2 linked regions of the Caenorhabditis elegans genome follow. The protein of the gene in region 2 purifies or fractionates together with the protein of the main gene of each other region. This does not show direct contact. Each region holds a gene or a part of one and is shown on either strand. Other genes may lie near its edges.

Region 1 (6,321 bases), on a different chromosome or scaffold from region 2:
AAGTTTTAAAAAATCCCTCACTCTTTGCAATTTCTGAAGATCAAACTGGCTCCATTTGCCGTGATTCCGTTGGTCATCGAGATGTCGAGCTCGCGGAGCCCGCGATTCTCTGCAATGCATATTGCCACGTGGTCATCCAATTGATTTCCTTCAATTGACAAGCATTTGAGCTTCTGGCATGGTTTCAACATAATCTGCATTTGGCGGGCAGTGAGATTAGTGCGAGAGAGATCGAGAAGCTCCAAGCGGGAGGTGCTCAGCAGTGCAACTTCGACGAGCCGTTCATCGGCACGAAGGATTCGATCGGCCTGGAAACAGTTAGTTTTATAGGAAATAAAATAAAATTCTCACTTTAGCTCCTGCCAGACGAAGAACTTTGATTTTTCGTTGTGACAACGCAATCAGTGAAATTTCGGAAATAGGACGATCCTGGGCGTCGGTGATAATCCAATTTCTCGATTTGTGTCCGATTCCGTAAAAACGATGACAGACGAGCATCGCCGAGAGAAGATCCTTCTTTTTCAAATTGGAAAAGATTTGTTCAGTGATCTCATCGGGAATACTGTACTTTTTGAACGGATTCTGAATACTGCGTGCGTCTTTTCGCTTGATCGGAGCGATTTCATCTTCTACGAGATTTTTGCAATTCAGATTTATCGACTTTAGCTTTTCGGAGCTGAAATGTCGTAAAATTAAGAAAATTAAGAGATAATTGCAGCTTACTTTCCGGAAACTGAAAGCCTGAGGCTTTTCTTTGGATAGAGGTTGTAGCATGGAAAGATGGAGATGGTCTCATCTGAGAATACTTTGAAAAAGTCAATCATATTTGAATTTTGACACACAATTACCTGTCTCCACGCAATGCTCATTTTCAGAGGGTCCGTTATCTTCTAGAGTTGATGGAAGTCTTCCTATGACACGAGACATTTTGTTTGAGTAGATATGAGGTGTAGTATTTAGGTGGTAAATAAGGGAAAAAGCACTTTCTGCTTGAAATAAATTCAAAACAGGGCTGATTTGAATAAATATGAACTCGCGGGCGCGGTAATCTTTTTTAGGTTGGCGCGAGTTTTTGCAATGCAAACGCGCTCCACCGCAAATCTGAATTTTCGAACATTTTTCGCCAATTTTTATCCTTATTTTTTTATTTTTTGCAATATTTCGCTATTTTTATTTGTTTCTCCCACCAAAAGCGCACATTTTTAAATCAAAATACGATTAAATAAAAGTAATATAACTTTTTAAATAAGTCCAAATAACCTTTAAGCAAAGTAAGGGTCGAATCTGAAACTATTTCTTGAAAACAACTTTTTTGTCTCATTCATCGAAGATTGGTTGTATTCGGAAGTGAGAGGTTGACAAGTTTTTTAAAATCCATTTTATTAATTATTCCGAAATACACATTTAGTTCCAATAGTTTCGAAATTTAAAACGTTTGAGTCATCCTTCATTTTTTCTGCCTAGTTGCTGTGATCATTTGGAGAGAGTATAAGAATTTATTAATCATTTCGAAAAAAAAAATCATTTTTGAATATCCTGTATCATTCTATTAAACTTGAAGTTATTCGGCCGGTGTTGAACAATTTGCTCCTCATTGGCGATCATTTCGTTATTCTGATTTCTTCGATTATAACGGAAGGAGAGTGGATCTGAATTTACAGTAGATTTTAAATTGGTTTTTCTTGAATTTCCTCACCTAATTTTTGTAGTGGAACAGGCGCTATGTCCACCGGCTCTGCAATATTGTTCAAGCCGATCGAGCGATTTGCGTAGAGATTTATTTCATTAAAGATATAATCATCTGACAAATTATCTGGCACCCCTCGTTTTCTTTTAGAAGTTTCCTCGATAGGTTCGGTTACAATTACATCGGTTTGTTGAGCTGAAATAGGATCCAAATTATCAAATATCCTTCTCTATTCATGTTATAAATCTTGGTTGTAAGAACAGTTAACATAATTAGTAACAATTAGAAACCTGATGTGATTAAGATTCTATCACTGTTTTTAAATAGTAAAATAAATAATTTTGACATACGTATATTGATAACTTCTCCTCTTTGTAACGCCTCAATCAATGCATCCAAATCAAGATCTCCATCACCTTGAGCCTCACGCAGTGCTCTCTCCTTTCGAAGCCTTTCCTTCAGTCGTTTAATCTGTCATTAAGCCACTAGTATACACCTTGGAGAGCCACCACAAACCTGCTCGGCTCGTCGCCGTCTACTTTCCTTATCTATCTCCTCTTCACGCTTGCCGTCTGCCCATTTGTTGAAGCTGAATGTGTTGAACACATTCGCACCGTCTCCCATTGTACTGTTCTGTAAATATATAAACTGAGCTAATGAGAAGAATACGTACTAGAGCACCACGCTTTTGCGAAAAATGAGAACCAAAAGCTCGATTGTGCACTCACTTTTGCATATTTTATTAAAGCTTTTGACGTCCTTTTCTCTTTTGTTCGCCTGTTTGAAATTTTTGAAAACCAGGAAACCATGATGATTTTAAATGTTTAATGATGTTCTTCTAACAGCATGCCCACGCGTTTTGCCTGAAAATTCGAATCAAATTAATTTTCAGCCTTTTTATTGTTTAAATATCAGAAAAAAACTGGCTGTTCACTAATCACGTGATGCCTGTGTTTTCATCCTCCCTTCTACACTGAAAATATTCTATTTTAAGGACATTTTCAGTCATTTTCCGGCGCTGTTCCCTCTGTCGTCGCCACGTCCAGTACACCGAAACCGACGACAAATCGATGAGAGCTCTACGACCGCAGGCGCGATGGATTGTGCTATTGCAGTGAGAGAGAGATGGCCGTTCTCTGCTTCTCTGCGTATCACTGTCGCAGCTGTTTCTCTTCTTCTCCTTTCGCCGCTCTTTTTTTGCATGTTCGTCAGGTTCACTATAGCGATTTCTTAATATCGAAATTTCACGAGTTTCAGAGTTGATTTTCGAAAGATCAGTGAAAATATTGTCCACGTGGTAGAGTTTTTCACTGATTTCTCGAAAATTCCAATAGTTTCTTTAAAAATCACACTCTTCTTCTTTGAACAATTCCATTTCATTGATTTTCTATATTTTCGTACAGAAATAATAATGTTTCAACAAAAATATGTTTTCTAGCACTGAACATTCTTAAATTTGAATTTAATTTTCTTAATATCAGATATTCAAAGATGACTATTCGTAGATTCTGCAAGTTCTTTCAAAATACTCAATTTTTCTATTTTCTCTCCAATTTATTTCTCCAAAAACCACCCGGTAATCAATATTTCAACACATTGCTGTGTTATCTTCACTGCGTCTCCTCTCTCTCTCTTGTTCTCCTCATGCCCGATGATAATCCGTTTCTCTTCCCGTTCTTTCTCCTTTGAATAGCCGCGAGATTAATTTTCATAAAACAAATTTCAGCACTCTTCATCATGTCGGTTGTCGAAGAAGCCACTGACGACGCGCTCTACCCGATTGCCGTGCTCATTGACGAGCTGCGCAACGAAGATGTCACGTTGCGACTGAACAGCATTCGCAAACTCTCCACAATCGCTTTGGCGTTGGGTGTGGAGCGCACACGCAACGAGCTCATCCAATTTTTGACCGACACGATTTACGACGAAGATGAGGTTCTGCTTGTGCTCGCCGAGCAACTCGGAAATTTCACTCCATTGGTCGGTGGTCCAGATCATGTTCATTGTCTTCTCCTTCCACTTGAGAACTTGGCCACAGTCGAGGAGACCGTGGTCCGTGACAAAGCCGTTGAGAGTCTCCGCAAAATCGCCGACAAGCACAGCTCGGCCTCATTGGAGGAGCATTTCGTGCCGATGCTCAGACGTTTGGCCACTGGAGACTGGTTCACATCCCGTACCTCGGCTTGTGGGCTTTTCTCTGTTGTTTATCCACGTGTCAGTCCAGCTATCAAGTCGGAATTGAAGAGGTGAGAATTAAGAAAAGAATAACTAAAGCAATCTAAATTAATTATTTTCAGCATGTTCCGAACCCTGTGCCGTGATGACACCCCAATGGTTCGCCGTGCTGCTGCTGCAAAGCTCGGAGAGTTCGCAAAGGTGTTTGAGAAGACTGCCGTCATCGAGGGTCTCCACTCCAGTCTCACTGATCTTCATGTTGATGAGCAAGATTCTGTTCGTTTGCTCACTGTCGAGTCAGCCATCGCTTTCGGAACTCTCCTCGATAAGGCTAACAAGAAGAAACTCATCGAGCCAATTCTCATTGAATTGTTCGATGACAAGTCGTGGAGAGTTCGTTATATGGTTGCCGAGAAGCTTATCGAGATTCAGAATGTCCTCGGTGAGGATATGGATACCACACATCTCGTTAACATGTACACGAACCTTCTCAAGGATCCAGAGGGTGAGGTTAGATGTGCTGCCACTCAGAGACTTCAGGAATTCGCTCTCAACTTGCCAGAGGACAAGCGTCAGAACATTATCTGCAACTCACTGCTCAACGTTGCCAAGGAATTGGTTACTGATGGGAATCAGCTCGTCAAGTCGGAACTCGCCGGTGTCATCATGGGACTTGCTCCACTGATTGGCAAGGAACAAACTGTCTCTGAGCTTCTCCCAATCTACATGCAGTTGCTTAACGATCAAACCCCAGAAGTTCGCCTCAATATTATTTCCAGTCTTGATAAGGTCAATGAAGTGATCGGAGCAGCTCAATTGTCCACATCCCTCTTGCCAGCCATCGTTGGATTGGCCGAGGATGGAAAATGGAGAGTTCGACTCGCAATTGTTCAATTCATGCCACTTCTTGCTTCCCAGTTGGGACAAGAATTCTTCGATGAGAAGTTGCTTCCGCTTTGTTTGAACTGGCTTACCGACCATGGTAACTTGATTTTTTCTTAAAAATGTTTTTAATTTAATTTTTTCCAGTGTTCTCAATCCGCGAGGCATCGACCCTCATCATGAAGGAACTGACACAGAAGTTTGGAGGACAATGGGCTAGCACGAATATTGTACCAAAAATGCAGAAACTTCAGAAGGACACCAACTACCTGCAGAGAATGACATGCTTGTTCTGTTTGAATACACTCAGTGAGGCGATGACTCAGGAGCAGATTCTGAAGGAGATTATGCCAATTGTGAAAGATGTAGGGAAATTTTACTTTTTTATTTAAAGAAATCGTAATTTTTCTAATTTCAGCTTGTCGAGGATGACGTGCCGAATGTCAGATTCAACGCCGCAAAGAGTTTGAAGCGAATTGGAAAGAACTTGACCCCAAGGTGACAGGAAAATCTTTTTCACTATCCCAATTTTCTATTTTCAGTACATTGACGTCCGAGGTGAAGCCACTGCTCGAGAAGCTCGGAAAAGATTCAGACTTTGACGTTCGATACTTTTCAGAGGAAGCCAAGAACTGTAAGTTTCAGTTGTCTTAAAATTTAGAGTGAATTTGAAATTGAACATTTTCAGCACTCGGCTTGTAATCGAACATATCGCTAGTCAAATTGGAATCTCTACATCTTCCACTTCTCAATCGTCTTATTTTTCCATTTTTGTTCCCGAGCACGCGAATAATCTCTATCTCTCCTCATTCATTTGTAAATGTTTAGCCCTCGAGACAAAACTCTGTATTGTAATAGTTCTAACCACCGTCCCTCCCACAACAAAACAATACAAATTATAATCGTTAAATTATGCGACCTCTCTTTATGATTATTTTCATTTTCCTCCCACTTCTATCCCGTATATTTCACCATCCTACTTCTTTCTGTTCTTTTTCCACCACACACAATCACCACTTTTTCCATTGCGACCCATTCATTCATTTATTTTTTTTGCAGAATAAAAGGTCATCGTCTATTATGAGAAAAAAGGTCTCAGGTTAGGTTAGATCAGTGTGGTTGAAATCTCTGAAAATATTTGGAATAATGGTGTTATCCGGCGTATGCCACGTCGCAGAAGCTTTTGAGCAGAGAATCTCGGTGCTTTTGCAACGTGGATTAAATATTGCTCAAGTTGCAAGCGTTGTGAAACGTCTCATTCAAATAAAAAATTTACTTTTGCCATTTGGAACTTTGAAACCATCTTTTTGGCCGTTTGGCAAATCCAGCTGGCAAAGAGCGGGCATAAATTTATATTAAACGCGCAGTTTCCCGATTGATTGTCTCAGAAACTTCCAGTGCTCAGATTTTGCCACGTGGCTAGAAGTTTTCGTTGCCAAAATTATTTTTTCCAATTAAAAAACTGTTCGCATTTACTTTTCAATTTTTCAATTCAATCGGAGAATTGTTTACGTAGTTTCTCTTTGCAGGTGCTATGCCAAGACGATGATAATTTATTTCCTCCAACTATTCCTGCT
Region 2 (8,336 bases):
TAGTTTTAAAAACACTGAATTCGGCGAAAAATAAATAAAATAAATATTTATAAATGAAGAAAATCAAAGCGCGCTCCAATGCGAATTTCTTTGGGCGCGAATTTGAAAAAAGTGATGCCGGAACAAGCGATTTCAAGCGTGCATATAAAATCAGGGAAATTTTTTTTTGATTTTTTCACATAGATATTCGGAATTAGGGGAAAATTTGGAGTCAGTTAAAAATATTTAATAGATTTCGGTACTCCACCTTTAAAAATGATTATGAAAGCTATAAAACTGTACAAAAAGTTAATAATTTTTTTTCTGAAGCTCTTTAAAAATTTTCAAAAAAAATTAAATTTTCAAAAGAAAATTTTCAAAAGAAATTTTTCTATTTTTCTAAAAAAAAAATTTTTGTAAAGTTTTTTCACAAATTAAATTTTTTTTTTCTGTAACTCAATTTGTTTAAAAATATTTGAAAAATAAAAATAGTGGAAACAAGAAAACTATGCAGAAAAATTAAATTTAAAGTTTTTTTCAGAATTTTTTAGAGTAAATTTTTTAAATTTTGATTTTATTTTTGAAAATTAGAGAAAATTAAACACGAAAAATAGAAAATTTTAGAGTTTTCCCTAATTAATTTTTCAAAAAGTTAACGCAGAAAAATACTGAAAATTAATCAAAAACTAAAACAAATAATTGAAAAAAAAATTTTTTTTGGGACAATTTTTTTTTCAGACATTACACGGATTTCTGGGTTCCGACAATTCCTTATAAATACAGAAAGATGTGCGCCTTTAAAGGTTACTGTAGTTGTAAAAATTATTTTTTTCCCACGATTTCGGGAAAAAAATTCGCAGAAAGGAAAAGCTCGAAAATACAGTAGTACCCTCTTTAAAGGCGCAGATTGATTTATACCGAAAAATTGTCGTGTCGAGACCCTGTATTTTTGTTCTAAAAAAGTTAAAATTGAAAAAAAGGAAATCCTGTTTTTTTATCTGAAAACTGCCAAAAAAATCAAATTCAAAAATCAAACATTTTAGAGTTTTCCCTAATTAATTTTTCAAAAAGTTAAAGCAGAAAAATACTGAAAATTAATCAAAAACTAAAACAAATATTTGAAAAAAAAAAATTTTTTGGGACAATTTTTTTTTCGGGGATCAGGGGAAATTTTGGAGTCAATCCATCTTTAAATTGCAAAAAATTAAAAATGTCGAGTTTTCAAAAAGATTTTTTTTACTGAAAAAAACCGAAAAAATCGGAATTTAAAAAACTAGGCCACCAAAATTTCACCGCGGCCACCCACGCTCTTACATGAGAATCAAAAAATGCCATATCATGGTGCAATAGCTTCTGAAACAAGTCCGACCGCATTTTCGTCGCCATTCGTTCTCCGAGAACCGTTAAAAATGTGATATAAAGAAATGTGAGAGCAGATTGTGCAACATATAGTGTCATTAAGTGCAGAGCAGATGGCTTGAGCTGTTCAAAATGAGATCGTAAATTGTTCGACTCGTCCTTGATGATTTTCACGATTCCGTTCACCAAATCGCCCAGGCATAGTGGAATTTGAATGTTGATGTAGGCTGAGAGGATGGCGCACTGCAAAAAAAACTGATAATTTTTCTCAATTTTTTAAGGAAAAATTGACTAAAATTAAAATTTTTTTGTTTTTAAAATTTTTTCTGGTGAAATTCCGAAAAAATTACAAGATTTTCGTACAATTTAATGTAGAAATTAAAATTTTTAGCCCCCCAAAATAACTGAAAAACTTCAAATTCCGAGATTTAAAACAAAAATTTTGTAATTTTTTGTAATTTATCCGGACAAAACCGACTTTTAGCCAATTTTTTCTTTAAATGTGGACTCCACTCTGTGGGAAAATTGCTTTAAAACATGCCTATGAGGCCATAATGACCGAATATCATTAATTCGTATGAAATCAATGAAATTTCATAGTTAAATTGGAAAATGGCAACATTTTTGCTTAAAATTTGTAAAAAATCATGTTTTTTGGGCATTTTTGGTGATTTTCTTTCGATTTTTATGATATTTCGGCGGTTTTCACCCAATTTCATTAGAAAAAATTGAAAAAATCTCAGTTTTTGCCTAATTCCTAATTGAATTTCCGCCAATTGGATTCGTTCGTTGGAGCGCACTTGCATTATTTTCATTAATTTTTTAAAATTATTTTTTATTATTTCACTGATTTTCTTCATTATTTGTGCATTTTTATCGGAAAAAAGAACTGAAAAAGCAAGAAAAATACAAAATGTTTGTTAAAAAGTAACTGAAAATGCGTAAAACTGTGATTTTTTGAGTTCTGAGGACGACGAGCCTGAAATTTGTATTATTCATGGAGTTTTAGGTATTTTTAGTCACTTTTTCATAAACATTTTGCATTTTTCTTGTTTATTTCGTTCATATTCCGATCAAAAACCCCTAAAAATGAAGAAAATCAATGAAATAATGATAAAAAAAATAATGCAAGCGCGCTCCACCGAACAAGTTCAATTGGCGGAAATTCAAATAGGAATTAGGGGAAAACTGAGATTTTTTCAATTTTTTCTAATGAAATTGGGTAAAAACCGCCGAAAAATCATAAAAATCGAAAGAAAATCACCAAAAATGCCCAAAAAACATGATTTTTTACAAATTTTAAGCAAAAATGTTGCCATTTTCCAATTTAACTATGAAATTTCATTGATTTCATACGAATTAATGCGGAAATTAAAGTTTTTTTGCTGGAAAATTGACAGGAAACCTGAAATAAAATTAAAAAGCAAGATTTTAGGTGAAAATTGCACAATTTTTTGTAAGTTAACTATAAAAATACGTATTTTTCTCGATTTTTCCCAGTTTTCAACCGGATTTTTATCGAAAAATTCACCACAACTGCAGCGAAAAACCAGCCGAAAAAGGGTTTAATCAAATTCCACAGCTCTCCGGCCGTCATTGACGCATTCTGATCCTCCGTCGTCCTCAAATGGTCGATGCGTTTGCTCAATTTCGGAGCACATGCCGCTTTTCGTAGGGTTACAGCTCCTAAACCGGCTCCAAACCCACAAATTCGCCATGTTTTGAGTATTGTTGTCCTTGAAATCGGTTTGTGAAGCCATGGATAGCTGGAAAAGCTGCAAAAAACGGGAAAATATATGGAAAAATGGAAAATCAGCAGATTTTTGCAGATCTTACCAGTGTTTGCTGCTTTGCACGGCGCTTTTGATGGATATTTGGGATAGTTTAGATAGAATTGACATTAAAAACCAGGAAAAATCAATACAAATCAATAAAAATCAGTTCTTATCAGCGATTTTTTCCGATTTTCCAAGAAAAATAATAATCGAGAAAACATAAACTCCGTGCGGCACACTTGCAAAAACCGTGCGCCCACCTTGCAATGAGGTGTTTTTATCATATTTTTTCATTTTTCGACCGTTTTTCGCAATTTTTTCTAACAAAACCTCATTTTTTGTATGAAAATGTTGAAAAAATATGCATTTTCATGGTTAAATTGTTAAAAATCACACAATTTTCGCTTAAAATCATCTAAAATGATGAAATATTGCTCATTTTAAAAGTTGGGGGGATTTTTCAGTTTGTTTTTCAAATTTGAGCTCAAATTTTAGGCATTTTTACCTTTTTCCGATAAAAAGTGAGCGGAAATTGAAAATTTTCAATTTTAATTGTTGAAATTTCCAAAAATGCACCCGCTTTGTGATTAAATTAACACAGTTCTCATTTTCGAAGGTTTTCCGCCAATTTTCGGCAAAAATGTTGAATTTTTACATGAAAAATCTGCAAAAATAAGTGTAAAAGTGGTAAAAAATTACGAAATATTGCTCATTGTTAGATTTTGCAATTTGAAAAATGCTTTTTTGTACTTTTTTCACCTATTTTACTCGAATACCGACAAATTTCTCATGAATGCTATCGATTTCTCATTCCAAAACCCCTCAAAAACGCACTTTTCTTCCAGTAATGGACGATTCGGACGACGAATATTCGAGAAGCCACGGGGAAACCCTCACATTTGTGGATCCCGAGGACGATGGAGTCTCTATTGGGAACACGCAGGACTCTCAGTTCGCCTATGAGCAGTTTAGTGTGCCTACGCAGAGTTCTCAGGTAGAAAATTGCCGCATTTGTGTCAAAAAATCGAAGGAAAATTCTGGATTTTGCTGAAAAATCAAGTTTTTCACATGATTTTTCAGAGAAATTTGTATTCAAAATCCTTTGAATTGATAGACTTTACACACTGAAAAAAACGATGAAAATCATGAAAAAAAAACCACTCGAAAATGGACAAAACCGATGGAATTTGTGATTTTTATTTTCAATTTTTGTTCGAAAATGAGTATAATCCCGTCAATTTGCAATTTTCAGATGCTTTTTTGCCCACTTTGCCCAATCAATTTTTCGTGCAAATTTCAAGAAAAATCGATCCAAAAGCTCGAAAAAATTAGATTTTTGTGCAAAAATTGCAAAATTTTTTGAATTTGGCCATTTTCGATTAGTTTTTCTTGTAATTTTCAAGAAAACAAACCGTCCAATTTTTTTTGGAGATGTTTTGTGATATAAATTATCTTTTCCAACAATATCAACGATTTTCTAGAAGCTCAACGTTAAAAAAGGTTAGAAAATTAGATTATACTATTACGGGAACACAAAATTCTGAGAATGCGTATTGCACAACATATTTGACGCGCAAAATATCTCGTAGCGAAAACTACAGTAATTCTTTAAATGACTACTGTAGGTCGATTTACGGGCTCGATTTTCATTTTTCCTTCGCCAAAATCGAGATTCCGTAAATCGACACTACAGTAGTCATTTAAAGAATTACTGTAGTTTTCGCTACGAGATATTTTGCGCGTCAAATATGTTGTGTAATACGCATTCTTAGAATTTTGTGTTCCCGTAATAGTATAATCTAATTTTCTAACCTTTCTTAACGTTGAGCTTGCTCTGGAAAAGATAATTTATATCACCAAAAACTTGTTTTAAAAAGAATTTTTCTCATTCCTTACTGTCAGGAATCTTGGAAATTGTGATTTTTTTTTCCAATATTTTTGTTTATCGCAATTTTCAGATGATTTTTGAGCACTTTGCCCACAATTTTTCGTGCTAATTTCAAGAAAATCGACCCAAAAGCGTACAAAAAATTCCAAGAAAATTCCAAAGCAATTTTAAAAATTCGACTCTCAAAAAAAAACACCTATTCCAGGCGACAGATCTTAATTTTAAATAAATTTTTATTCAAAATCCTCTGAAAGTGGAAATTTCAGTGGAAAAAAACCAAGAAAATCATAGAAAAGTCCCTTAAAATCAATTTTTTTTGTCAATTTTTCAAAATTCTCAACAAAAAAAAACCCATATTCCAGGCGACAGATCTGCTGCCAGGAGGAACCGATGGAACCACCAACGATTTGCCATTTCACGACGTGGAAGACGACGAGTCGGACAGTGAAAAATCACTGACAGAAGAGCAGCAGCAGCAGAAGCTGCCGGAGCACGCGTGTCGCTATTGTGGAATCTCTGATCCTCTGTGTGTCGCCAAATGCACAGTCTGCAGGAAATGGTTCTGTAATTCCAATGATGGAACGTCGGGCGGGCATATTGTTCATCATATGGTTCGGAGTCAGCATAAGGAAGCCTACACGCATAAGGATTCACCGTGTGGTGACACTCAATTGGAATGCTATCGTTGTGGTTCGAAAAACGTGTTTAATCTCGGCTTCATCCCCGGAAAAAAGGATCAAGTCGTCGTGATAATCTGTAGAACACCGTGCGCCAGTATTGCATTCCAGAATGATGATAATTGGTCGCCCGAGGACTGGAAATCTGTAATCGCTGAAAAACAGCTGCTATCGTGGATTGTTAATGTGCCCAGCGAGGAGCAGGTGGCCAGAGCTAGGAAAATCACGTTAGTGGAGGAAAATCGATTTTTGAGAAAAATTTTAAAATAATAATTAAAGGAATTTCCAACCAAAAATGCAATTTCCGAGCGATCGAATTTTAACAATTTTTAACTAAATCTCGCCGTCCATCGACTTTAAAATACCTAAATCGAGTTGAAAACGCAAGATAATTAAATTGTATACTCAAAATTTGACGGTGGTTACAAAAAAAAAATAGTTTCCAGCCGCTTTACAAGTCGGTCAAATTTCAAATTTTAACTAATTTTAGGCCATTTTTTGAACCGTCATAACTTGTTTTTTGAGAAGTTTCACTATGAAATTCGGTGTTTTCTGAGTTGAATAAAGCAATTTTAAAAAATTCGACTACACCACCTTTAATATTTCTATAGCTTCGATTTTTTTGTTGATAAAAAATCTATTCCCAGTTTCCAAAAGAAATTGAAAATTGAATTTTTTTTCGAATTTTCGTGCAAAAAATTCTCAATTTCTACCGGCATTGGTGCAAAAAGCCGGAAAAACACAAGTGGTATAGTACTTTTAAATAGCTATATATATATATATATATATATGAAAAACTAAATTTTCCAGTGCTACCCAAGCAGTCCGAATGGAAGAGCTCTGGCGTGATCACCCAGAAGCAACCGTTGACGATTTAAATAAACCGGGACTCGATCGAGAACCGGATCATGTTCAATTAAGATATGTGGATGCTCATCACTATTCGAAAGTGTTCCGTCCATTAGTTGCAATTGAAGCAGAATATGATCGAAGAGTTAAAGAATCAGCATCACAAGCAGTCGGAACTGTTAGATGGGAACAAGGACTTCGTCAATCGGTTCTCGCGTTCTTTCATCTTCCACAATTTGCTGATGGTGTCATGAAGCTTGCGAAAGGCGATGAACTTCGATTGAAACATTCTCAGACGGTTGATGGATCGGAATGGACCAAGATTGGAAGTGTTTTCAAGATTCCTGATAGTAAGGGATGGGAAAAATAAAAATAAAAATTTTGAGTAGTTTTTCTTGGAATTTTCAAGAAATAACTGTCCAAAATTTTTTTTTTGGAGATTTTTCCTGATATAAATTGTATTTTCCAGTAATTTCAACGATTTTCCAGAAGCTGAAAAGGTTAGATATTTAGTTTATACTATTACGGGAACACAAAATTCTGAAAATGCGTATTACACAACATATTTGACGCGCAAAATATCTCGTAGCGAAAACTACAGTAATTCTTTAAATGACTACTGTAGGTCGATTTACGACGCGCTTGATTTTCATTTTCACACGAACGAAAAAGTGAAAATCGAGCCCGTAAATCGACGCTACAGTAGTCATTTAAAGAATTACTGTAGTTTTCGCTACGAGATATTTTGCGCGTCAAATATGTTGTGTAATACGCATTTTCAGAATTTTGTGTTCCCGTAATAGTATAAACTAAATTTCTAACCTTTTGAGCTTCTGGAAAATCGTTGAAATTATGGGAAAGTACAATTTACATCACCAAAAATCTGCAAAAAAAAAAATTTCGGTCGGTTTTTTCTTGAAAATTACAAGAAAAACTACTCGAAAATGACCAAAATCAATTTTTTTTTGAGCTTTTTTAACTTTAAATTCTTCGGAAAAATTTTTTTTCCCGCTTTTGGATCGATTTTTCTTGAAATTAGCACGAAAAATTGGGCAAAGAGCTCAAAAATCATCTGAAAATTGCAAATTTACAACAAAAAAATCACAAATTCCATCGTTTCTGGCCATTTTCGAGTGGTTTTTCTGTGAATTTCAAGAAAAATTGCACAAAAAGCTCCAAAAAATTTCACGTTTACAAATTTGCAGACCACGGCGACGAGGTAGGCATCGAAATCCGCGGAGCTGTCGACAAATCAGTGATGGAGAGTCGGATTATGTTCACCGTCGACGTCGTCTGGAACGCCACCACCTTCGAGCGACAGTACAAGGCTCTTGCGGCGCTGCTCAACGACTCCAAAGCAATATCTCCATATCTCTACCAGAAGCTTCTGGGTCATCCAGCCGAGGAAATGATGCTCAAGTTTGATCTACCGCGTCGGCTATCTGTCGCTGGACTCCCCGAGCTTAATAGCTCCCAGATGCAGGCAGTGAAGCAGGTGCTCACCCGACCTTTAAGCTTGATTCAAGGACCTCCGGGAACTGGAAAAACCGTAGTTTCGGCGACAATCGTCTATCATTTGGTGCAGAAAACCGAGGGAAACGTGCTCGTGTGCTCGCCGAGCAACATCGCCGTCGATCACTTGGCCGAGAAGATTCACAAGACGGGATTGAAGGTTGTGAGGCTTTGTGCGAGATCTCGAGAGCACAGTGAGACTACAGTACCCTACTTGACGCTTCAACATCAGCTAAAAGTGATGGGCGGTGCGGAGCTTCAGAAGCTGATTCAGTTGAAAGATGAAGCCGGGGAGCT

The links. Proteins that work in one complex are often made in the same cells at the same time.
Region 1: the proteins of smg-2 (region 2) and paa-1 purify together in Caenorhabditis elegans (affinity purification with western blotting, with the first as the bait; one study listed by BioGRID). This does not show direct contact.

What each region holds. Positions count from the first base shown.
Region 1 is NC_003281.10:5,447,317-5,453,637, forward strand, and holds paa-1 (putative serine/threonine-protein phosphatase PP2A regulatory subunit), read left to right. Parts: upstream 1-3,413; 5' UTR 3,414-3,424; coding exon 3,425-3,933; intron 3,934-3,984; coding exon 3,985-4,844; intron 4,845-4,891; coding exon 4,892-5,109; intron 5,110-5,162; coding exon 5,163-5,242; intron 5,243-5,286; coding exon 5,287-5,378; intron 5,379-5,432; coding exon 5,433-5,446; 3' UTR 5,447-5,821; downstream 5,822-6,321. Other genes in the region: skpt-1 (F-box domain-containing protein), read right to left, coding at 22-308, 352-676, 724-805, 849-927; F48E8.8 (Hsp20/alpha crystallin family protein), read right to left, coding at 1,522-1,649, 1,697-1,882, 2,038-2,158, 2,204-2,320, 2,416-2,496; F48E8.4 (MRH domain-containing protein), read left to right, coding at 6,290-6,321. UniProt on the Caenorhabditis elegans protein: Acts as a scaffolding protein for phosphatase let-92 and its regulatory subunits.
Region 2 is NC_003279.8:1,172,515-1,180,850, forward strand, and holds the start of smg-2 (Regulator of nonsense transcripts 1), read left to right. Parts: upstream 1-3,958; 5' UTR 3,959-3,960; coding exon 3,961-4,107; intron 4,108-5,363; coding exon 5,364-5,905; intron 5,906-6,488; coding exon 6,489-6,877; intron 6,878-7,732; coding exon 7,733-8,336. Other genes in the region: haf-6 (Mitochondrial potassium channel ATP-binding subunit), read right to left, coding at 1,294-1,581, 2,870-3,113, 3,175-3,239. UniProt on the Caenorhabditis elegans protein: RNA-dependent helicase required for nonsense-mediated decay (NMD) of aberrant mRNAs containing premature stop codons and modulates the expression level of normal mRNAs.